2 linked regions of the Lytechinus pictus genome follow. The protein of the gene in region 1 binds, or shares a complex with, the protein of each later gene. Links are inferred from orthologs where the notes say so. Each region holds a gene or a part of one and is shown on either strand. Other genes may lie near its edges. The genes, in order: DNA-directed RNA polymerase I subunit RPA2-like and RNA polymerase I-specific transcription initiation factor RRN3-like.

Region 1 (12,813 bases):
GGTATTAACAAAATGATTGAAAAAAAAACAAGTTACCTGAAATTACATTGATCTAAAAACCATATTTGTTTTTGTTTTTTAATAAAAACGTTGCAAAAACATACTAAATACGCCCAAAACGTACTGGTTGGCAGGTCTGAGAGTGCATTGATTAAAAATACACAATACTGGTGCGTAAATGAATGTTTTTAACAGAAATATGGCGCAATATAAATGCTGTGGATCATCATCATCATCATCATGCGTGCAACGCATTACACACAAAGCTTTTTGTTACACTGAATCGATTACAAATTATTGTGAGTTGGATTAGCATAGTCAATGAAAAACCCCTCTTAAGGTTGCACCCTGCAATGAATGTGGTACAGGAGGGATTCCCTACATGTTTGTCCGTGTTGGGCAAAGAGTTGAGCAATTTACTAGAAAGAGGGTTCCCACAGAAATTTGAAAACAGAATTCCATGACTTTTCCACGACTAAATTGCTGCTTTCCATGACTTCCCGGGAGTTATGTAGAGTTTGGGATGTCACAAAACTGGGAAATATAGAAATCATGAACACCAATTATAATAGCAGAGTATGAGAGTTGCGAGACACAACAAACTGGAAAGTTGCCATAGCCAAGAGGTAAATGCCATTCCATGACTTTTCACAAATTTTCCAAATTCCCTGACTTTCCAAGACCACAATTTTTTCCAGGATTTTCCATGACTGTGGGAACTCTATAGAAATCTGTGATTTGTCACTTACAACTATGGACTGGTCATTGCGGACACATCTCATCTGGACACCGAACTCCGTGAAACCTTTTCCTCTGCTCTTCCATTTTGGACGGTTGATGGCCAGTGGCTGTAATATGAAATGTAAATATTTATTAATTTCTTATAAAATGCACATTTTATGCAAATTACATTATCATATCAGGGGGGTGTTTCATAAAGAAATAAGTATGACTTAAATCGCACTTAAATGTCGACGCGTACATGATATGCAACGCGCAATCTTATTGATCAATACGCAGTAGTGCGCATCCTCTTAGCATGATCTGACCAATGCGGTCATGCCTTTTATACTGCACCTAACTAGGCATTTAAGTGCGACTCTAAGTCATACTTAAATCTTTGTGAAACACCCCCCAGAACTGATAATACACTGGAACTTATCCTTTCAAATTTGTTACTACAAGGTAAAACTTTTATTGAGGGCAAAGGTTGAGTCAACAAATGTAAAAAATATGTTTGCTCACATCATGATATCTTCATTTCAAAGTTGAAATATAAAAGTAAATTTTAAATAGCACTGAACATGGAGATATTTGAAGCTTTTAGAATACTTTTTATTCATGCAATTTTACTCTGATGAGTGCAGGTCGGAAAGCTTATTAGAGAGCGTTGTTGGCTCAGTCCGTAACGCGTCTGCCCGTCGAACCAAAGATCGTGGGTTCGAGTCCATCCCATGCGGATGACTGAAGCCAGTGCGTTGTGTGTAAACGTCTCTCCCATGTTTCATAGATGCAGGCTATGTTACAATGGAAAACACTCCGACCCTCAGATAGGACGTTAATGGAGGCCCCGTGTAGAGGAGAGTCACCACCTTTGTACATTAAGAACCCACTGCACTATTCGTATAAGAGTAGGGGAAACCCGGCGTAGTGGTCCACCTGCACTCCCCCAATCAGTTATATCAGGAGAGACCTGCGGGTCATAGTGATTCAATTCGCTCTTCGCCTCCCAGGCACAGGTGACGCCAAACAAATAATAATAATAATTAGTGTTTCCTGATTAGTGCTTCTTACTGATTTTGCCGTACCAAACATTCATTTATAATAATAAACAATAAATTACATGAAGAATTTTTTGCCAGCTCAAAGATACTCACCTTATGTAATATTGAAAACACCACAAATTAGACACAATTTAGCAAAGAATTTGGCTACTTACAAAATTTCTTCTTGGCATGACGAGCATTCTGATGACCTTCTCAATGCCGTTAGCGATGAAATAACCTCCCATTTCAGAGCCCTCTTCTTTCCTTTTTACAAGCTCACTGGGAGGTAGGTTGTGAAGATTGCAATTCTTACACTGAAAAAAAGTACAGAATTCATTCATTTATTTCTTTACTAATCATTTATTCAGCAGGTTTCAAGAATTCATAATAATAGAAAAATGTGTGCAAGAGTGTACAAAACCAATTCATCTCTTTTTATGTCCTTTTGTACCACCTTATTCATGTCATATTTTCAACAAATACTACTAGTACTTTCTCTTTACAGTTGGCAGGTATGATAAAGCTTTCCTGAATTGTATTGCGGTGTACTGTGTTTGCTCAGTTGGTAGAGCGTCCGTCTCACAACCGGGAGGTCGAGAGTTCAAACGCCGGAGCATCAGACCAAAAGATGTATTTTGGGAGTTGCTGCTACCCTGTCTGGGGTTCAACATTGAAGGGATAGATCTCGTTTATCTGACGCTGCACAGTGGCTGCCGGGCCAAGAAGAATTGGGCAAAAAGAATTTTCGGAATATTTCTATTTGAAGACTTCTATTTTCAAACAATGAAATGTGGATTTGGATTGGATTCATTGACTTACTTTTACAAGGATGGGTATCTGGCCCAGAGGACGCATGACACTCCCACTGTCCCCATTGCTTCGTTGCCAGAGCACCCTTGCCTGAAGAGGGGCCTGGTACGTCGTCCCACGCTGTCGACACTAAAAGGAAACAAATTTATTTTTTTAAGCAACTACAATCACTCTGGAGGTGTTGCCATGGTGTAGTGGTTCTCACTCCAACATTTCCCCCAAGAGGGTCATTGGTTCCAATCCTTCTCCAGGATGTACAGCGGTATTGATTTCCCTCGGCAAGAAAGTAATCCAGATTTTGCTGCAATCAACCCAGGTGAGGTACATGTAAATGAGGACTTGGCAGGAATTTAGCCCTTGAAACAGAGTGTGCCTAACAGCTGCTCTGCTAAAGCTGGGGTTATCACCCTGCATCATTATTGAGCACTTAGAGACTTCTGATAAGGTGTTACGCACTATAAAAGGACGTCATTATCATTATAGACTAAACAACATTCCCATATCTTTGATCGTGGATCCTGATGACAGATTTAAAATGTAAATGAACTTTTACAGATAACCCGCCACTTCGAGATATTGCTGAAGAGCATATCTACCTATAAATGGCATTTTGATTAGCCTACAATGTACATTGCACATAATCCCGAATTGTTCACCTATAGCTGAAATTTGATTTTAGTCATTGAAATTTAGATGGCTTTCGCAACACATTTTCAAGGATATTCGATGATAAATAAAGATAAAAATAACCAATTTCTCAGGGCCAATGAGAGGAAAAGAAATCAAGCGACCTTTGGGAGTTTCATTGAAGGATCAGTACTGATAATTTCAGTGAAATCCTTGGTTTTGATTGGCTGAGAGGCACTGGCCTCTGACTGTTACTATAGTAACTGTCAGAGACAATCAATTTGTCAGTGCTGACAACTTTAATGAAACGGTCACCCTGAACCTACCTCTGATGGGTAGACTTTAAGAGTAGAAGCAAACAGGTTTCCTCTTGCAATGGTTGGTACACCAATGAATGCATCCTATGAAAAAAAAAACAATCACAAAGAATGAATGTATCCTATGAAAAAAAAAACATAAATAACAATAAAATTAAGAACAGGACATTCACAACATCAGAGCATATTGTGATATACAGGTGACCCAGGGGATAGGAATACTATGGGCCAGAAAGGATAAAGATGAAATTAAAGGGGAATCCAGCCTTGGTCATAAAATGTTGTGTTGGGAAGGAGAAAAATAAATTAAACAGAATGGTGAAAATTTGAAATAAATCGGACAAGAAATAAGAAAGTCATAGCTGCTTTAAAATTGGGATCACTAATAGTATGTAGATTTCAAATTGGCAACTGGGTAAGTAAATTATGACAAGGGGCAAGGACAACCTTCCCATAGGCCATGTACTTTATTATCAGGGATTTGTGGTTTTCTCCTAAGTACCCATTCCCCTGGGGCAGTAATCTAAATATAACCCAGGTAGTATATTGTTAAATGTCCTCATGAAAGAAAAATACAATTTGAAATAAAACTTTGAGGAAAAATGACATTTTAGCCATAATATGTAGTGGAGTACATGGAAGAGTAGTCCTTGCCTTACATCACTATGACATCCCATATGCGGCCAATTTGAAGTCTCCATGAGTATAGTGATTACCAATATTTCCAACTTTGAAAAATTCATAACTTTCTTGTTGTTTGTCCAATATTGTTCAAACTTTCACCTATCAACTTGTCTGACTTTTCTTTTTCTTATAAAAACAAGTTTTTATTTGGGTTGGATTCCCCTTTAAGTTTGGGATGAGGCGGGATTTCATGTGAATTTTAAGGAAAATGTAGAAAGAAGTATTTTTTCACTTTTTTTATATAAGGAATACTTGGGGGTAAAGATGGAGATGAATCATTTTAGAAATTAGAATGAAACAAGATAGCTGAAAATTACTATTAATGGCAATCCATACTTGTGCATATACAGTGTACCAGTATAATGCCCCATTTTCATACTTATATGCAATGGCAATTCCAGAGTAATGTTTTCATGAGTAAAACTCTGTCTCCAACTTTCTCTCATTTAAACTACTCAGCTATTCAGAAACATAAGAACATTGATATCTATCAAGCAAAAGTACAATGTTTACTTTGTTTTTTTAATACTTCATGTGTTATCTTCTTCCACAGTCACTCTGGAATCTTTTGGATCAAATCAAACTTTTCATACTGATAAAAAAAAATTAGATTTCATCATATTATTTGATTTCAAAATACTATTCAAATCTTTTCTAATGATACCTCATATGAAAGTGAAATTCTTTCATCATCCAATAGGAACTCCACTGGATTGATGTTCCTCACTGCCTGTGCTAATCCATCGTCAAGCATGTAATTGAAGGATTCAATGTGAGGGCGCACTGCATCTTCTAGGAGCTGTTTTCACAATGAAAAAAAAAGACAGAATCAAAATCAATTGTAAACACCAGCCATGTATTAACCTCTAACTTCATCAAGGATAAGAAGAACATAATAGTAGCATAGGCCAGGCCTGCAATCACCATCAGTTTTATGAACATGTACATGTACTCATTTCTCAAAATTATCTTAAAAATTCAATATCTTATACTTGTTAAATTTAAGATACATGTACCACAAGGACAAAGTTCATTGACCCCAATTGTGATATGTGACTTGTATACCTGAAACTCAAATGATCAGTAACCATGATTGGTGACACTTAAATATCCTACTCCTAGCTATATGTCCAGGTTTCAAAAAGTTAAACTTTTGACTTGTTGACGATCGACGAGACAAAAATCAGATTTAAAGTCTAGAGTCTCTACATCTTTTGTTCGTGTTAGGTATCTAAATAAGATTTTTCAATTTTTTTAAACATTAACTTCAAGCTCTAACGTTACGCTCTCCTTATTATAAAGATCTAACTTTACAATAGCTTTTGCAAGTAGTAGCACGTGAAAACTTAACCCAGGGAGCTCAAGGATAATAAAATTGCAGGTGATGAAATCATACTTCTTCGTCTCCCTCCTCCGGTGAGTGGAGGAGATTATATTCCGTCAGCTGTAATGTATGTCAGTTATGTCACTGAATCATAACATGGACCTAGACCAAAAGCTTCAGTCTCTGGTATGTTGGTTGTTCCGCTGAACTCCGTTGGCTCCACTCACCAAATACAGAGACTGAAGTTGTAGCTCAATCTGTACAGGGACCCAATTATGGCCATTTATAATAATTAATATTAATATGTTCATGTAATTATTAGTTCGGATAAAACAGGGAAGTGAAGTTGCGCGACAGCCGAGGTAAGTCACTGTGTTTTCCCCTTTTAATTTTATTTTTCCCCGTTTTGGTGCATTTCAGGCCAAAACGGAATATTAATAATCTTTATTTTGCCTTTTTTTAGTTTTGGTACACGTACAGTTCTTTTTATATATTTATGAAATTAAGTCAGACAAAAATCAATGAGCCCCGTCGGGGGGATTTTGCATTGTTAACCCCCTAATGGTGGCTGCACGATAGCGAGCCGTCTGTGTACGAGAAATAAAAAAAAATAAAAATGTTTTTAAAAAACTCCTCGAAACAGACGGCTGCCAGCTGTCTATAACATGGAGCCTAATATCCGCACTCAGGTCGGTTCGCTGTGGCATTGATTTAATGTACACAATATTACAACTTCTCACACTACACCAAATCATGCACACGAAACATTCCTTATTACATGGTAAATTCAAGATTTAAAACGAATGATATATCAACCTTGTTCTGGTACTCTTTCGGTCTCCCATATTCTCCATTTGTTAAGTTACGGTAAGTTGGTGTATCACTCATTTTGACAAATTTTGGGCGACCACCTTACCACATTCACAATTCCATTCGCACTTGCAGTGCACTGCAGTTTTGTTTGGCAAAGCGCAAGTGCATCGACGTTTCGCACATGCGAGATTTTTTTTCGCTGAACCCCCCTTTTTTACATTCAATGTATGTATACTGTGTGCTGTGCGTGCCCAGTTCCAGAGTCATCCAATTATTCATCCTTTCCTGAAAAGTACACGTGTGATTCACTTGCTGCTCGTCTCAACTCCGACTTTTAACAAACTTATCTTGCAAAAATGGGTTTCGGTGATCTTAAAAGCAGCAGTGGGCTCGGTGCCCTTAATGATTTCCTATCAGATCGCAGTTACATTGAAGGGTAATTTTCTTTTTATTTCACAAGATTCAACAACATACGAGGTAGCGTCTAGCGAGGCGTGGCGTGAGCTGACTGAGTCTTAACCCAGGAAGCTCCCGCCCGCGCGGGCGGGAGCTCCCTGGGTTAACTGAGTCTGAGCTGCGTGCTGTGTCTGCCCTGCACTGCCACTGCGATGTTCAAGTTGAGATGGGTACCATAGGCATGATTGGGATATCAAATGTTAATAGTAAATTAGCATACGAAAGTAAACCACAATGGGTTTTTTATTGATAATTATACTGCTGTGTGTGATTGGTTCTGTCAGTAGACAGGTAGATAGAGGCGCTGGTCCAAAAATTGGGATTGTCTCACTCTCACTCAGTCTCAGAAAACAAGGATATCCTCATCATGTCATAACCAAGGCAAGACAAATCATGTCTTGATGAATTGAGATTGTCCTTGTTTATTGGGACAGTTTCTCTTCATTCACTTAGTGACTTTAGCCCTGCGGGACATGGACAGCAATTCTCGCTACCCCAAATAGGAACAAAAATCTCATAATGCGCGAGACGAGATTATTTTCACTCCGTCGGGTCGTCATCACCACTTCCGGTTCAGAGTCATGCTCGCGCGAGGTTCGCGATACTGAGTTTTCCACCACGCTGAAATCGATGCCAATCAGCGATATGTACAGATTATAATACTTTTTATCTAATTTGGTCAGTTTTGATTCCATTTGAATTATAAATAAAAATAAAAAATATATTTCATGTGAAAATAGTTTTTATTCATGTTTTTATTTGGTTATAAAAAATTAAACAAAAAATGAGTATCTTAAAATTTCGCATTTAGCGACCGGCCTGACATCACGATCGTATTCGACTAGACGCTTAATATATAGCCTACAGCATTCATTCCGTTCAATTTTTCGTCGACCACAAAATGGATAAAAAAAAAATCAGTTTTGGAACTTTAAAAAATCTTAACTGACAGAGGAATACCGTGCAATGGAAAGCGTCAGGCAGAATTAGTGACTTTAGCAGAAAAGGCCGTTAAACTGTATCGTGAAAGAGAGGGTTGTGATCACGAACTTTCCGAGCGAAAGCGACGTTGTGTTGTTGTGCATGACGGCACTGTTGATCTGAATGGCAAAACAGTGCATTGGACTTCCGAACAGGAAGTTTTAATACCGAAAAGCTATCCCATAATGCAATGCGCGTTACAGGGATTTTTCCCGGATCTCGGCAAAATCGCTATTTGGGGTAGCGATAATTGCGGGATTGAGAGTGCTAAAAATAGATTAAGTGACCTCAATTCCCCCAGTTCACCGTCTATGGACTATGTCTATGACTATAATCTATATTTCATGACTTTCTGTCTTCCATTTCCAATAATCTTGTTATGAAACCTGATGATATGTTTACATTACATTGACTAGTGCACTGGATTGATGTCACAAGAAATCTAACTTAGGAAAGTTCATTCACCTGTGAAGTGCCGACATCAATCGGCACTTCACAGGTGAATGAACTTTCCTACGTTAGATTTCTTGTGTGGAGAAATCTTTGAAAACTGAGACAGTCCCTGTAAACTGGGACGATCCCAATTTTCTGACCAGCACCTCTGTCATATCACCTTCATTTTGTGAAAACTCACACAATTTTCTTATTTCACATCCATTTTTGATAATAAAAATTTTGGTGTGTGATTTTTCTTTTGTTTTTATTTTATTCAAGTCATCTTTCAGGTTTTAGTTGTTTATTTCCTGTCTAAGTGGGGTGTCTGAAGCCACACTGAAAAGTGTCAGCATAAGACAGGCTGATTTAGGGGAAAATATGGCACACTTTTTTCAGGAAATTCAGGCTGCTAAAAAAATGTGATCTGAATTGATTATTAACTTTTGTTTGGCATGTATTGAAAGAAAATTCAGGGGCTTCTTTTGACAGTAAGGACAAGTTTATAGGATTATTTGAAATAAGGATTTAGAGATAAATTGCAAACCCTTATTTGTCTGTGTGTTGAGATTGTTATTTCCCCATGCATTTTCTATGGGAAAATGAAATTTCTGTTTTGCACAAATTTTTTCACTTTGTCGCAATTCTTCATTGTGATCTGGTTTCCAAATCTTTATAAAAATCATACCATCGGAAAGAGCATAAAAATTCCTACTAGACACTTTATGGACAAGTTTTTGGCATTAATAATAAATTTATAACAGCTCTCGGAAGCTAAAAATTAGGATTTGTGTGTGTCCATTTCTTAACTACACAGTAATATGGCAGGGAAATGCTGAAAATTGACCTAATTTCATTCTTCTTTTTTGCAGCCAATAATTGGATTTTTTCAAAAAATATTACATTTCTATCAGTCTGAAGGTTTTTTCTCTTCAAATTCACAAAGAAAATGTGATATTTCCTTGAAATAAGAAAAAAAAATTCTCCAGACACCCTAGTCTAAGATTAAATCAACATACATGTAGCCTATTGTAGGCCTACATAAAAAGAATGTGATTGTTTTTTATGTGTTTTTTTAGAAAACAATTATTTTATTCCGCTCTGAGCGCCTTGAGCATCTAATTAAGATCAACATGGAAAGTGCGCTATACAAATCTTGAATTACTATTAGATAGGGCAAAAAAAAATGAAACGGCATTTCTACTAAAAAGCGTTACCTTTATTATATATTCTTTATTAGCATTATATTGTCAAAGACATTGCTCAAAACTGACCATGAAATTTCCTACTAAATAGTTAGAAATAAGGCTTAAATGCGCCATAAAATGTGTCTGGAAATGCATACATACAGCATTTTGGCCCATCCCCAGGCCATAGGCTATACTTTGTGGGCTAGTGGCTGAAAATAGGCATTTTTAAGTCTTTATAGACTGTTTGAGCCTCTGTGAGGAGCCATGGAAACATGTCACATTACTTGGCTGCCAGAAAATGTTGCCACATTTAACTACATTGTTCACTCAAAATATAGAATGAAAATTTGAGGCAAGTTCACCTATTGACTTTTTGACACATGTCTACAGCACAAATCTGGTGCCACCCTAGTATTATTTTATTTTTAGAACCTACTTTGAATTAAAAGGGTTATTTTTATTGTGAGTTGCATCTAGACTCAATCAACGTACAATGTAGCTTGTGGTTACAGATTTTGTTACTACCCTCATGAAAAAAAAAACCTTTATGTATTTATAGTATACACACCCGAATGAATGAAAAGAATTTACATCAGTTTACCTTTAGTTACTTTTCTCTTCCAATTTCAGGTACACTGTATCCCAGGCTGATGTTGTCGTTTTCAAAGCACTGACTGGGGGCCCAGCAGCAGACCTCTTCAACGCACTCAGATGGTACAATCAAGTCAAGTCGTATTCTTCCACATTTACTAGGTGTGTGTAATTTATCTTTTTTTCCTTATGAATGTACAGTAAATGGGGCTAATGCATCAATGGCAGCCAAAAAAAAACAGTTATTTTCAGGGGCTCCTTTTTGCAAATTATTGCCCAATAAATCTGCTACATTGGATTTTTTTACATTGCAATGAAGAAGGATTTTCCAGGGCCCCTTATTCAAGTTTCCAGGGTCATTTTTAGCATAAATCGGAACAAAATCTTCTTCTTCACTCGTAAGTACAGGCCACTGTAATGCCGCCGCGCACAGAAAAATCAAGCCATAGAAGTCGTGTGTGGTGGATGCCAGAAGTGGCGTCACAGCACACGCGACCCACTAGTTAGAAATCCACTGCCAAACGCGGTTCTTGGTGCGAGGTTAGTATACTATTATAAATAAGGTACTAACCTCGCACTAGTGTGAGTGCCGTTTGGTGTATTTTTGTACTGTTGACTGTTGTGCAGGTTTATGTACAGTGTCTCATTAAACTTGCCCTAGCCCGCTTTTCCCTAATTAAAGGGGAAGTGAAGTTCACCCTGATAATATTTGATTTAAATTAGAGCAGAAAAATAAGAGAAAAATATTTGTGAAGATTTGATGGAAATTTGTTTGTGATAAGCATCTGATTTTGTGACATGACCAACGAGCAGCTCCATTGGCTGTGTGATATCATTTTTTTTAAAGCCATTTTCTCAATGAATTGAATTTTATTTTATTTGTGCAGGGAATATATAACTCAGGAGAAAATGGAAAAGATTTTTTTAACATAATCCAAGTTGAGTTTTGCCCAAGTCAAACAGAATTCTAATATGGTCCCATAAGATTTGACATTTGCAGGTTCGCCTGTATAATAATTAAGAAAAATGTATCTATCCATGATGATAGGGGCATTTAGGCTGATCAATAGGATATAAAAGGCCATAGCCTTGGATTAATATAATCCCTATTGATGCGTACAGGGTGTACATTATATCTTATTTTACATAAGAGACGTTGTTTTAAGATTTATTTCTTTTTTATTTTTTGGTTGTTTGAAACCAGCCTACCTGGGGTAGCCAAAGCTATCAGTGAGTACGGTCCTGCGGTCACTCCAACTGCATCCAAGAAACCCGCTGACGACGACGAAGATGGTGACGACAGCGATTTTGACGTCTTTGGGTCAGATGATGATGATGAGGAGGAAACTGTGAGTGTCATACAAACTCTTTATTTTTTAACCCACAAGTTGGCTAAAATCATTCTTTGGTTTAGGCCCTGTTTGATTTTGGGCGTGTTTTGCAAATGTCCATTGAACACGTACGTATGCATGTCTCTCATTGCCCCTGTAGTATCCTTGTAATCTCAAAGATGTTCATGGATTGTACATACATTCAGCGCATGATGGCGTGCCAGTGAAATCGATGCTAATTCTAGGATCGAGTTGAAGAGAGCTTGGGTTTGGGTAATTACGTCCCAGTTTCAGCTGGAATTATGGAAATTCAATACATGCCCGGAGAAACAAGTTATTGTGGTTTTTAAAAATGATGTGTTGAAGATCAGAGGCTAGATATAGGCAGCCTAGTAAGCACGCACCAAGGGACACCAGGCTGTATTGCAAGCGCTAGGCGCAGCGACTGTGAGATTGATCGGTCGAGTGGTGGCTCCGAGTTCCGGGCCGATTCAGGACCCGGAAATTAATTTTGCTATTAAAACCTTCCAGTCCAGGTTCAAGCCGGGTTTTCATCCCGAGCCCAAACGTTACATGACAGTTTTTTTACATGACTTTTGTATAGATTGATTTATTCAAATATAATTTATTTGTTTAAAAGCTTTAAATCCTGTTGATCAAAGAATCTATTGATTTTTGTTTTCTTTTTGTTTTACAGAAACCACCTCCAAAAAAATTAGAGCCAAAGAATGCAAAGAGTAAGTTAATGACATATGTTTTATGATATTCTGATTTATTGAACCTAGGTAGTTGTCCATATGAACAGGCATAGGGTAGTCTTTTGTCTTTGCACTATAAATCCATGACCTTGATCAAAGTTAAAATAATGGGGAGCCAAAATGTTGAAATTGCACAGGTCTGTGTTATCTGTTTCCTGTCTCTTCTTCGCTCATGTCTAAATGATGGAGAGAACTATTTCAGTTATTATTCCCAGTCAGTTATGAATGATTTGAGTGTCAAATTGGCTAACAAACTGAACTTGTACTTTTGGATATACCTGTCATGATTGGCTTTCCATAGTTAAACCACAACCTTAGGCCAGAGTTCAAATTAAACAGGGCCCCGTCTTACAAAGAGTTGCGATTGATCCAATCAACCTCATATGGACGGCCAGCAAAGTCAACATCTAAAATTCAAATTTGTTCGAAATATTTTTGAGATATCATGTATATTCATACATTCCTTGCTCTTTTGAAGATTCACTGATTCTCTTTGTTTACTGAAGGAGATTGTGTAAATTTTCTAACGAAAAAGTTATGGTATGGATGGATTTCCATACAGTTGAGATTGATTGGATCAATCGCAACTCTTTGTAAGACGAGACCCAGAACTCACTTTCTTCCAGCATCATAAGACATGCTTTTTCTATTGATACTGTCCCAACACTTGTGTGGTCATTTTAAAGAACAAGTCCACCCCAACAAAAAGTTGATTTGAATAAAAAGAGAAAAA
Region 2 (12,701 bases), on another chromosome or scaffold:
GGGTCCTATAATTGTCGAATTCGTAAAAATTGAAATATTGTATTATTAAAACAATAAAAAACAAAAGAAATAGTGAGTGAGTGACATCATCAACACTCTCATTTGCACATCACTGAGTTAGCATAGAACTGTTTTGTGAAAAATAAGCGAAACTTTAAAATGTCATAACTTTTTCATTTTACATCCAATTTTAATGAAGTTTTCAGCGTTATTCATGTTTGATTTTTCTCTATTTATTCAAATCAACTTTTTTCTGGGGTGGACTTGACCTATAAAAACAAGATAAATAAGGAAGGCATCATGACCATAATAGTCTGTAATTACAGACGCTTCTGACGACAGGCGCGTAGCCAGGGGGGCGGTGGGGGCGGTCGCCCCCCCCCCCCCAAACGTCCCCAAAAGAAAAAAAAGAAGGGAAAAAGAGAGGGGAAAAGGAAAAGCGAAGGAAGGAAAGGGAAGAAAGGTAGCTTTGTGGGTTTTTCTTTTTATTCTTTTTTTTTTCTCAAAAAAGAAACTCCTTCACTCTTGCTCTAAATTTATATATACATGTATGAATTTTGCTTCCGCGCTGCGCGCGGTTAAATGACAATATTGCAGTTCTCCTTTGTTTCCCTCACCCTTTCTCTATCCCTGTTTTTCCACCTCAGCTATATGTGTTTCTTGCCAGTTAAAAAGTTCAAATATATACATTAGGGCATGAAATTAGAGTAAGGATAGGCCGAAGTATATGAAGTTATCTTTTCTTTTTTTTTTATTGATCGCGCAACTTCTGGTCGGGTCGTCTCTGGGCGGGTAAAATCTTTATATCAATTTCTGGCGTCACCTCCATATAGGCAACTTCTCCCGCTTTTCAGCTTATTACTAAACAACCATAATTTGGGGGCAAACAGGTTCCTAATTTAAAAAGAGGAAGGTATACATTCATGTCGTATTAAATAAAAAAAAAGTACAATATTTTTTATCAAATTCTACTAAACTTCATGTCATTTCCCTGCACATTCATCTCCTGTCCTGTTTTGCGCCCTCAGTTTGAAATTTTGAATGACACTTAAATTTCATTATCATTTAAAATGAAGCGCATCAGGATAAGTCAAAGAAATTATACATCATCCTGTTTTATATGATTTCAATAAATCACAGAAGTTTCACATTTTTGCGCACTATTTTCTTTGTAATGAAGTTCAATAATCTTAGAGGAAAAACAATTGAATTAGAGCCAATGGGGTATTAGAGATATCTGCATTTGACGAAACGCCCGCCCTTTGAAATTTCAGAGTTTCATTGCTCTGCACGGGGAGGAATATCTTCCTCCCATCCTTCCTCTCCTCTGTTTTGCGAGTTAAGATATGCACTGTCGCTAAATTGTTTGTAATCAAATCTGATCTTTCCGAGGGAAGTATTCAATATAACTTAGAGAATACCCTTTTCTCGGGACCCTTTTCTTTGCCAAAAAATTGACAAAACGCTTTAGCTTCCGCGCTTCACGCAGGGTTAATAATATTTTATTTTCCTCCATTTTATCCCTTTTTGTGCGTTCACAGTCACTTTCGAAAACAAGGTTCAAAATCACAATATAGTCAACTGAATTATGGGTTAAAATAGGTACTAGAGACAAGAGAGACGGCTCATTTTCATTTTAATTTATGAAACACCGAAATCTTCGCGCTTCGCAAGGGAGGGGGAAACTCCCCCTCCCTGCACCCACCCCCTAGGGAGCGCGCTTCGCGCGCTTTATAGTGTTGACACGCTTCGCGTGCATTTACCGCCCCCTCCAAAATGAAATCCTGGCTACGCGGTTGTCTGACGAAGTCTTATTAAAGACGAAAGCTAAAGCTAAAATGGTATCCTGCGTCATCTTTTTAGTTGGCCTCATCACAATATATATATATATATGTATGTGTGTGTGAGGGTGTGTGTGTGACTGTATATAAAAGAAATATGGTAAATTGTGTCTCCCCCCACTTTTGAGGAGAGATTTCAGCACCCCCACTGAAAAAAAATCGTTCCCAGGGCCTAGCTGTGTGCCCCCCCCCCAAAAAAAAAAAAAAAAAACTTTTATCCAATGACCGACCAAATCAAACGGGCATCCAGTTCCAGTTCGAATTTATCATAAAGTCTGGCATATATTTTATTATAGCTTGGAAATATATTTTTATGATGGTAAAATACATTGCATGGGGACACATACAATTTTGAAAATAAATAAAAGGAACGGTATATCATCCAGGATGGTGCCATCATTATGTAAGGTTGGACAAAACATGAAAATTCTAAAATGCTCACTCAATTAGCTTCTTAATTACAGTCTTGCTAGAATTGATGTATTTCAAGGACTTTCTGTATTTTGAGTATAATGTAAAATAATCATGAGAAAATGTGTAAATTTGTAGGTTCATCAACACCCTGTGCGGTACGTGGCTTGGGAGGGGCCACTTCCATTGACGAGTGGATACCATGCGCGACCACGGGGTTTTGAAAAGCACCCTATACACGTATTTTCCATATTCTCAAAATGCACCCCTTAACAAGTATTGGCGTGTGAAACCTTACCCTTAACAAGTATTAGAAACAAATACTATTGGCAATTATTCCCAGAATTGAGCCCCTAAACAAGTACGGCGATGTATTTTCCATATTCTGAAAGTGGAAACAAAACGATATACTCTTGGCAAGTATTCCCTGAAATGAACCCCTAAACAAGTACAGCGATATTTTATTGTTATGTCACTGGTCCGTCGGTCGTCGGTTTTACCTTTATATACACACCATTATTTTGGTTTAGTCGGCCCCACCTTCCACACCTCGCGCAAATCGGACTCTAAACACGTAGTGTTGGGGCAAAAAGGACATCCTTTATCAAACATTTTTATTTTGTTTTATCATCCCCGCATATTTGACCCTAAACACGTATATATTTCCGCGCGAAATAGATACCCTTTTATTAATATTTTTGTGTTTTTGACACCCTTATCACGTTACGTAAGTAACGTGCCCTATCTTGAAAAAGACATCCTTTTTACGTGTTTTTTTTTGGTCGCGCATGGTATCCACTCGTCAATATAAGTGCCCCCCCCCCCCCGGGGGGGGGGGGGAAGGTGCATGGAATTAGGATCGAAAGCCGACCAGAAGTTTTCAGAGATAGGCCCCTATAGACTTCACATTATTAAAAAGGTTTTACTATATAAATTTTGATGTCCATGGTAAGATTGTATTCTCATCTCTAATTTCCAACAGCGTAGTAAATCGTTCACGCATGGCAGCTAGATAACGAACAATAAATATTGCATGTATTGAGACATATCAGAAACGAGTTGCGCACTAGAAACTCACGTGTGAATCTGAATCCACTCTCATTTGAGGTATCAATGAGAGAAGAATAGAAAGTTCAAGTTCAAGTTTATTTCAAATTCTACAAAAAATACATGTCATCAATGAAGTAACAGAGAGTGTGGGCCCGGAGTGTGGGTAAATAGGGAATCAGCATTAAGTGAAAATTGTAATTGATTATTGTACTAATAATACCAATTATGAGGGAAATTAGTTTTCTGTAAGTATATAGACAAAAAATAAAACTTTCTTTACATATGACCATGTTATTTGGAAGAGTATTGGGAACATATAAGAAGATATATATATGTATATATATATATACATATATATATATATATATATATAATGTGATGATAAGTTTACTCCTACCAATCGCTGTTGAGTTGTGAATATCAAACATACCGAGATAAGGCGAGGCCAACTCAACAGATGACGCAGGACACCATTTTTTGCTTTAGCTTTCGTCTTTTAATTGAGACTTCGTCAGAAGCGTCTGTAATTACAGACTATTGTGATAGTTAAGTATGACCCATAGAGATATATACTAATCTCTATGGTATGACCGTATCCTATCTCGTTCTTTCCTAAAGAACGAGATAGGATACGTTCTGTAATTACGCTAGAACTGATGACGAAGTCTCAATTAAAAGACGAAAGCTAAAGCAAATAATGGTGTCCTGCGTCATCTGTTGAGTTGGCCTCGCCTCATCTCGTTATATATATATATATATATGAAATTGGTGCCGGGAATTGGTGAAAGCCTGACAGTAGCCAGTGGCCACGTTGTATAAGGGGACACCCCCCCCCCCCCCCGGCCCCGCGCGCTATATAGCGCCAGGCCAGCCGACAGGTGTCATAGGCGAATTGGCCCGGGTACCGGCGGTCCAAAACGGCTAGCTTATTAGTACCGCCAGTACAAAACGGCTAGTCGATCGGGCCCGCCTGATCCAAATGACTGGTTCAAATTTTGGCCGAAACGATAGGAGAGCCGCCGTTTGGTTCCACATTTATCAAATCTTTCTAAGGTAGATATTTACTTTGATAAATGTTTCAAAATATATATTTGTGTAATTTTTAATGTAATTTGAATATTATCTTAGAAATAATTATTTCTATATTCTGTTTAAAGCCAAAAAAGGTAATAAATATATTCTATAAATATATGTTTTGATCAAATGTTTCAATATACATATTGGTGTAATTTTTAATGTAATTTTAATATTATCACAGAACCGATTATTTCTATAATTCTGTTTAAAATTAAAAATGTTGGTCTAGATAAGAGGTATTTCAGCTTCGTACGATACTAATTTAGTCTACACTTTTTTGCGCATGCGACATGCGTATATTGCAGCGCTGGACAGTTGACACACGGTACCGTTCCACTTCTCTTTTTTGGAGTAGGAGCTAGTTTTTAAACAATATTTTCCTTTTTTATTATTAACATGGACCGTGATTTTTTTATCTAATGCGAGGACATCTCGCACTACCTTAAGCATGGGGGCTATCTGTTTGCACACAATACCCCTTTTGACATATATTATTCTCTGAAAATTGTGTCAAAATCTATATATCACAAATTATATTTTTATCATAATATGTCAACATTTTGCTCGCTCGCAGCATAGAAAAATTCGTACACCAAGTCGACGCGTCGGTGCCATTATACTTCAATGATCAATGAAAAAAAATGAAAATACATAACTTGTAGCTTAGTATCTCTTATTGCACCAAGCTTTGATGATCGTATAAGCTACGACCAGTTTTGAGTCGTCATAAATAAAATACACCTGTGTGTGTGTGTTTTCTTATGTCAGCACCAATTAAAGCCCCCCCCCCCCTCATTTACACAGGTCAATTTGATGCCCCCTAAGTAATTTAATGTCAATTTGTCCCCCCCCCCCCCAAACATGAATGCGCCCGAGGCCAAACCCCGGGCCAAACATCAAATTGCCGCACAAAGGTCGAACATAATTATGATCAATTCGGCACCTCCTTACAGGTCACACTTCAAATGGTATCCCGGCCACGCTCTTTTATAACCTTTTTAAATCCCCCTTGTCCCCTTGTCCCCCTTCTTTTTTCCTTTTCTCCCCTTTCGGTTTAATCCCCTCTTTCCTTTTCCCCCCTTTTCTCTTTGTTACTTTCTCCCAATTAATTTTGCGATCTGTTCTTCGAATCTCGCTTTTTTTCTCTCCCTTTTATTTTCATCTATCTCCTCCTTTTTGGCACCTCCTTTTTGGACTACCCGGGTTTGTCTCAATGAGGTGTCACTAAGAGTTCCCTGTGTTTTGTGCAGCCTTGATGGACTATTAAGCTTTTAGTTATTTTATTTATATATTTTTTTCTATACTTACTTTGGGGGTTTTGGTGAGCACGCAGCAGTGTTTACCCCCACCCACCCTCAGCACACCAGTCGCCATCCCGTCCTATTTCTTGCCCCGGTTTCTTACTTGAGTAATGAAGACCTAGATCTATACAAAATCGAAGTTCACACCCCAAATATAACAGGCGTGCAAAGGGAGCACTCAGTGTGAATATGGCTTCGTGGCCCGGCCCACACAGCTGTAATCAATCGGAAGTGTGCTAAAATAATGCATAAATTATATATTTCCAAAACATATATACATCTCTATGTCCCAAAATAAGATTCTCAAATCGGCAACTGTAATGTTCTGTCGATATGGTTAATTTGGAGGAGCCAGTTGGTTGAAAAGTGTCAACGTTGAATGAGCGGCGTCTAGGAACAAATCGCCTGGTCGGAACAAATCGGCTATGACGATCGCATCACACAACAATGTTGGAGGTGCCGTGGCCGAGTGGTCTAAGGCGCGTGGCTATACATGGAAAGTCCGGGGTTCGATCCCCGGCCGCGGCACCTATGCCTGTGAGCAAGGTATTTAATCTACAATGCTCTTTTATCCTGCCTTCAAATAAATGGAAATGCTATATGCATTATTGGTAACTCGGTGTGCACTTGTTTAAAAAAAAAATATTCGGAACTAATCGGCGGATAAAAGAGCCACCGATTAGTTCCTCCGGCCCTGAACGGCTGCCCGGCCCAATTCTTCTATGACACCGGCGCGGCCGACGTATACGCGTTATTAGTATACATCTCTATGCCTAGCCTATGGACGTGACTTCGATAGGTCTTTAACTCATGCGCAACATTCCGCGACGAAGTTACAACACGTGTTGAAAGTGAACTAAATGAGGGCTTGTTTTATGACTTTACCATCGACATTGATTCAGTCAGCATTGAATGAGAGTATTCTTTGGATTTCAAGCCGATTGGAAAGTCTCAATAACGCAGTTGATGTAGTTTAGGTGAGTACCGTATGGATGGAACCTGGCATCAAATTGATCAATTCAATCGACAGTACAGTCCCATCTGTGCACTTTTGTGTTGTCATGGTCAGATGTAGACAGCTGGCAGCCGTCTGTTTTGAGCACTCTAGCCTCTAGGCGACACCCCGTGCTAATAAACTGGGACTCCACTCACGCGCGTTTGGGCCTCCCTAGCTTAGAACTAAGCACTAATATCACCTTAAAAACTAAATCTACAAGGTATCTATAATCTATTTACAACTTTAATAATGTTTAATCGGTACTCACCGGTTCTTTTGTTGCATTTTCAGACCATTTCTCACAATTCTTCGTAAATATTTGCGGCAAATTTTGTCGCCATAGACAGCTTAGCATCCATCTTTATTGATAAATGGAGCGCCCTTTACGATAGTTGTTAATGCCGCGGAGAAATCGTTAGGCATTTTGACCTGTGTTCAAGGCGTTCTTTCTGTTTTATTTTTTATATTGAAGATTGTGCATTTGTTGAATAGCGCCGTCTACGTCAGGTATGAGATCGAGTGTATAAATACACTCTTCCAAAATAATTATGATTCCGACCTGGCGCTGTTTAACTTCAATCTCTTTCACCTAAATTAGCGATGAATGCTAGCATTATAAAATATATATTATTAACGTCTGACGAAAAGAATAACCAACCGATCAGCTGACGAGAACGCGAATCACGTGATCTTCATATCAGCTTCGATCGCGAGTCAGAAGAGAAGAGCAGCTGCCCAGAAAATCAGGAAAAAGCCGTGAAAATGTAAGTTCCCCTTCATTTCTTTCATTTTTTGTTGTTGCTAACGATGCATTTACACTATAAAATTATAATTTAAATAAGAGAAAGGAATATAGCTTGTACTTGTGATATAATGTATAAATATCCTGTTCTCAGAGATTTCTAACCAAAAATACTACTGATGTCGCCTATGAGGTCCATACATGTAATGTTGGACCTCATTGGTACTAGGAGTGGTTTTGAGGAGTTTTTAAACATTTTTTTATTTTTTATTTCTCCTCGTATTTGGTGAGTGAAGCCAACGGAGTTCAGCTGAACAACCAACATAACAGAGACCGAAGCTTTTGGTCTAGGTCAGATCAGGGACTCGGTTTTATAATTATAAGGGGAGCAATAAAAAGCTCTCCTAGAACTTTTAAGGAGAGCGGTAGAGGAGCACTTCAAAAAGCTCTTCTTCAACATACAAGGGGAGCTTTTTGCCCAATTAACAAAATGGATGGAGGAAATGTATGTACTATAAAATTACAATCAACAACCAAAGGAAGTATTTATAATTGTTTTACAATGTATTGTAATTAGATTGTGTGTTGTAAAACCTGTTTTAGTTAGGTTTTGACTTTGGCTAAAAGTTAAGTCACTGACAATTTTTTTTTTTTTTCGGGGGCTCCATTTTAATTTTTTTGTCAAATTTCGGGGGCTCTTTTTAAATGCTACTTTTTTGTATTTTGAGGAATACCTGTTCATTTATTAAGGAATTATTACTTTTTGTTTAATATTGTATGATTTTTAAAGTTATTTATCATGTTTACAATCTTGGATGTGGGTGTGTGTGGATGGGTGGGTGTGTGTGTGTGTGTGTGACTGTGAGTTGGACTTGGATATAAATGAATTCAATATCTAATTTCTACTCCATTTATTCCAGTACAATACCCTAGTCAGCCATGTACATGTAATAAAGGCCCACTTACCCTAACTTTTCCTGAAGTTCTTTGAAAACGCAGATCTCCATGAAAATTTAATTTCTCTATGGGGGAGTCTAAATTTGGTGAGAATGTATTCATTAAGAACTTAAATATACATGACAATGAAGAAATCATCAAACTTTATTGGCAGTTTTGAATAATATTCCTGAAATGTAAACTCTGTCTGAAACAGAAAATCACCATCATTGAGGCCTTTACTGAGCGAATTGTCCCCCAGAGCTCTGGCAGAGAGACAGAGCTCCAACTGGCTAGCTAGTAAAAGCGCCAATGCGTGAGCCTGCCGCCGTCCTTGTAAAAAAGATGGAGCTTTGTTTGATGATTTATTGTCTGATATAATACCTCATCCCCTAGAAAAAGAAAACAAATGACTTTTTAGTTATAATTGATAAATTAGATAACTTATTTTGGAAGTTAATAAGCCGTTTTGAAAAGCAAAGCCGAATGACAACTCACCAATGCTAGGTTACTAGACTCTGGGATTTATTTCCTGTGTAATTAGAATTATTTTATCACAGAATTGTGATATCTGTAGGGGAAACATGTGCATTCGAAATGACACACGGTGGTAGTCATAATGGACCCCTATACATGCAACTCTTTCCCGACCGTTGCGTTGATTTTTTTTTCCATACCTGGTACCATGTGTATGGAAATACGTGGTACAGAAAAAATAACGCAACTTCGGAATTTGAAACTGCGCTACTCTCTACTTTTAAGGCTTATTCGTGATTTTGAGTGTGGATTTTGGATGGTTTTTAAATGGTAAGCGGAGCTCGAGCATATGGCACTAGTGGGCCGTTGAGTTGTTATCACTCGGCAATAATTTTGGGGGCGACATTCAGATTTTATGTCGCCCCCGAAAGCATGATTTTGGGTGATTTCGAGGGCGACTTTAGGCATTTTCGCGCAGGTCAGCTATCGCGAGGCGCGCTATTAATCGCGCTACCAAAAATGGATTAAGGCGCGCATGTAGCGCGCGATCGCTCTCGCGCGCCTTAAAATCGAGTCCCTGGTCAGATGATGGTTGTATTTATTAATATTAATAATTTGCATTTAAAAATAATAAATTAATATAACCTTGGTATCGATATACTGAGTGCACATGCGTGAATTTGGCTGAGCCTATTTATTTTGCGTGAAAATCTGTTTTCTTTACCCATGCCATCGGTAGTCGATCGCGATCGGCCAGTTTGTTTGCAATATGAATATTTGAAAGCGAGCGCGAGTGAACGAACGCTGCCTTTTTTGTTTTTAGTTCCCCCTTCTTGAAGGTCTGGGCCCTGCCTCAATGTCAGGATTCTGCTGAAGAATCAAGAAATCTAGGATAGTTCATTCTCCTGTCAAGAGCCGACATCATTCAAGTGCACTAGTTTTAGGTATGTGACAAAAAAAATGAAAATCATCAAATATGAATAAATTTGGTATCACTTGAAAGCTCTTATTCTTAAAAAGACCTTTAAAATGATACCAAGAACTTTAATTTTCATCAAGAAATTAGAAAGTTATTCCAGTTTAAGTTGCGCATATTCATCCAAATTTGTGGTCATTGTCTTAATGTAAAGTCAATGGAGTACAGAACCCATTTTTGTGACCATTTTGTGACCATTTTGAACCCAAGTCTTCAACAGGTTCTAACTTCTTTGTTTTTGAGTCCTATGAAGTAATTTAGGTATCAATGGAAAGGTGAGAGAATGCTCAATTGATGTATATCAATTCATCTTGTAATTTTTCTTATTATGTGTAAAATAATTTCTTCTAATTAATTCTAATTAATTATGCAAATAACACAAAATCACAATTACTCGCCTCTTTTTTTGCCAAATGAAGGTGATTATGATAGATAATTCATATAATTTAGTTGGCATCAAGACAGCATCATGTAGATAATTTCCTAAATGAATTTGTCTAAAGTATTGTTATTGTAATTTCTAATGTATTTCTTTGTTTTTCTGATATAAATTACAAGCTCTTTTTCAACTTAGTATTGTAATTTTGTATATGTGTATGTACGGGGGTCCTTTTTTACATATAAAACATTTTCTTTTGTACTTTGTATGACCAAATAAAAATATGTGTGCTTTTTTCTGATGATTTTGATTGTTTCACCAATTCCTTATGTATTCTATTGTTTCAACAATTTGTTATGTAATGTATAATATGTAGCTTTTGATTTGAGAGACAATGGACATGTGATAACATTTTTTTAGAAGGAATGAGCAGCTGAGTGTAAAATATGTATGTAGAATTGTATGCAATTTATTTCAAGTATCAAGAAGGACGAAAATTAAGTTTTAATATATTCTATCAGTTGTCAATGTCTTATATTTGTATACATACATTGTATTACTAAGGCCCTGTTTGAGCTCTCTTTTTAAAGAAAAATAAATAAATTCAAATTATTAGTCGAAGCCAAAAGAAAAGGAAAAGAGTGGTCTATTTCTTTCAAAACAAAACAAAAAACAACCAGGAAAAATATATAACAAAGCTCTAAACAACAACAAAACAGACATCAAAGCTCCAAACAAGCACTAAAAACAAGAGAAACAAAAGTGACACAAAAACTTGTACCAATCCCATCCCCATTTTCCAATTCAAAACACAACCCCCACCTGCGCCCCTAAAAAAAGAAAAGTGAATAAAAAAATAAATAGTAAAATTAATAATAAAGAAAACATAAATACATGACTTAGACCCATCTGGAAATGAAATATTCTTTCCTCTGAGTTTTCATGTATTTTCTTACAAGAGTGAAAAAATTACAACAAAAAAATAAACAACATCTAGTTCGTGCATTTTAATAAAAAAAATCAACATTTAAGATATTCTCCTTTCAAAAGCAAATCCAGTCTCCTAATAATGAAATATGACCCCCCAAAAATGAAAAAATAAACAATACAATAATTTAAAAAAGAAACTGAAAAATTAACAATTTTTGCATTTTAATTAAAAAGTCAACATTTATGATATTCCCCTTTCAAAAGCAAATTCAGTCTCAAAATAATGAAACATGATTGAAAAGTTTCAAAATATTTTTTTTTCTACAAAAGAAAAAAAAGAAACACTATAGATTTTGCATTTTAATTCAATAAGTCAACATTAATATTCCACTTCCAAAAGAATCCAGTTTCCAAATGATAAAACATGATTGAACAATCAAAGTAAAACATGTTGACTCTATAACCTTAGGAGGAAAGAATGTTTTTGTGACAAAATGTATATATTTAAATCAATATCAGAATAACAATCTACGGTATAATGACAGACATTTTCAGAAAAAGGCACAATATTATCAAGTAAACAATTTAGATCCAGTTCAATCCAGCATGAACGACTCACTATCGACCGCTCCCGTCACCAAGCCCTCCGCATCGGGTACCGGTAGCTCGACTGCCGAAAGACGGACGGGAGCCCACCGCATCGGGCAGCTCGACTGCCGAGAGACCGGCTGTGACAAGGGTAGCTCGCTTCTCTTATATCTGGACAGCTCAACGATAGAATCTTTTAATTTTAATTTTTTTGTTGATTTGAATATATTCTATAACAATTCAGATACATAATTGGATCGTAGTTCTACTTTGCGCATCCAAAAATTTGATGAACTTTCAAGCTCCGATATCCACACTTCACAGGCGAGTATCCACATTGAAACTTATATGTACAGAAAGAGCACATTTTCAACTGTCTGTATCAAGGCACGAGATTGCATCAACTATGTGCACATGCGCATGAAACCCCATTTTCGATGAGCCTCCCAGACAGAGGCGATGCCACTTGCAGCGAAACCCGCGCGAAAACCGTGCAGCCAAAACCAGCGCTCGCGATGCGCCCGTATTCGCACATACCTACTAGTTTAGTAATATCAGGTTTCATAACCATTTATTACAATAGTACAAGATTATTGGAAGACGGCAAGTCATGAAAAATAGACGGTGAACTGGGGGGAATTGAGAGGTCTCTGAATCTATTTTTAGCACTCTCAATCCCCATAATTGCCGTCCAAGTCCCGCAGGGGTCTAACGCACTACCGTCGGTGCAGTGAATGGGGATGATAGTAAAATATCAGAAATTGTGAAATAAATCCCCAGAAACAACGGTTATTCCTGTCTACTTCACAGTAGAGGCGCACGGCCAATATTGGAGACTGTCTCCAATGTGGGAGATTATCTCCAATATCAGAGACTTTTGTAAAGAATTTGGGTATCCAATTTCAGAGACAGTCTCCAGTTTTGGAGTCCAATTTCCTTCGTTTACATTTGCTGCAAAAGGATTAACTTGGCGGCAAATAAAAATGTGATAAGCAG

Evidence for each region.
Region 2: DNA-directed RNA polymerase I subunit RPA2-like (region 1) and RNA polymerase I-specific transcription initiation factor RRN3-like share a complex: the UniProt entries of both Homo sapiens proteins name them as parts of the pol I pre-initiation complex. The link is inferred for Lytechinus pictus from reciprocal best matches to the Homo sapiens genes POLR1B and RRN3.

Annotation. Positions count from the first base shown.
Region 1 is NC_087257.1:11,048,951-11,061,763, forward strand, and holds the start of DNA-directed RNA polymerase I subunit RPA2-like, read right to left. Parts: upstream 6,508-12,813; 5' UTR 6,417-6,507; coding exon 6,345-6,416; intron 5,004-6,344; coding exon 4,869-5,003; intron 3,605-4,868; coding exon 3,530-3,604; intron 2,706-3,529; coding exon 2,586-2,705; intron 2,081-2,585; coding exon 1,940-2,080; intron 849-1,939; coding exon 750-848; intron 1-749. Other genes in the region: elongation factor 1-beta-like, read left to right, coding at 6,698-6,777, 10,031-10,153, 11,196-11,340, 12,020-12,059. UniProt on the Homo sapiens protein: Catalytic core component of RNA polymerase I (Pol I), a DNA-dependent RNA polymerase which synthesizes ribosomal RNA precursors using the four ribonucleoside triphosphates as substrates.
Region 2 is NC_087254.1:4,770,940-4,783,640, forward strand, and holds the start of RNA polymerase I-specific transcription initiation factor RRN3-like, read left to right. Parts: upstream 1-6,404; 5' UTR 6,405-6,657; intron 6,658-12,701. UniProt on the Homo sapiens protein: Required for efficient transcription initiation by RNA polymerase I (Pol I). Required for the formation of the competent pre-initiation complex (PIC).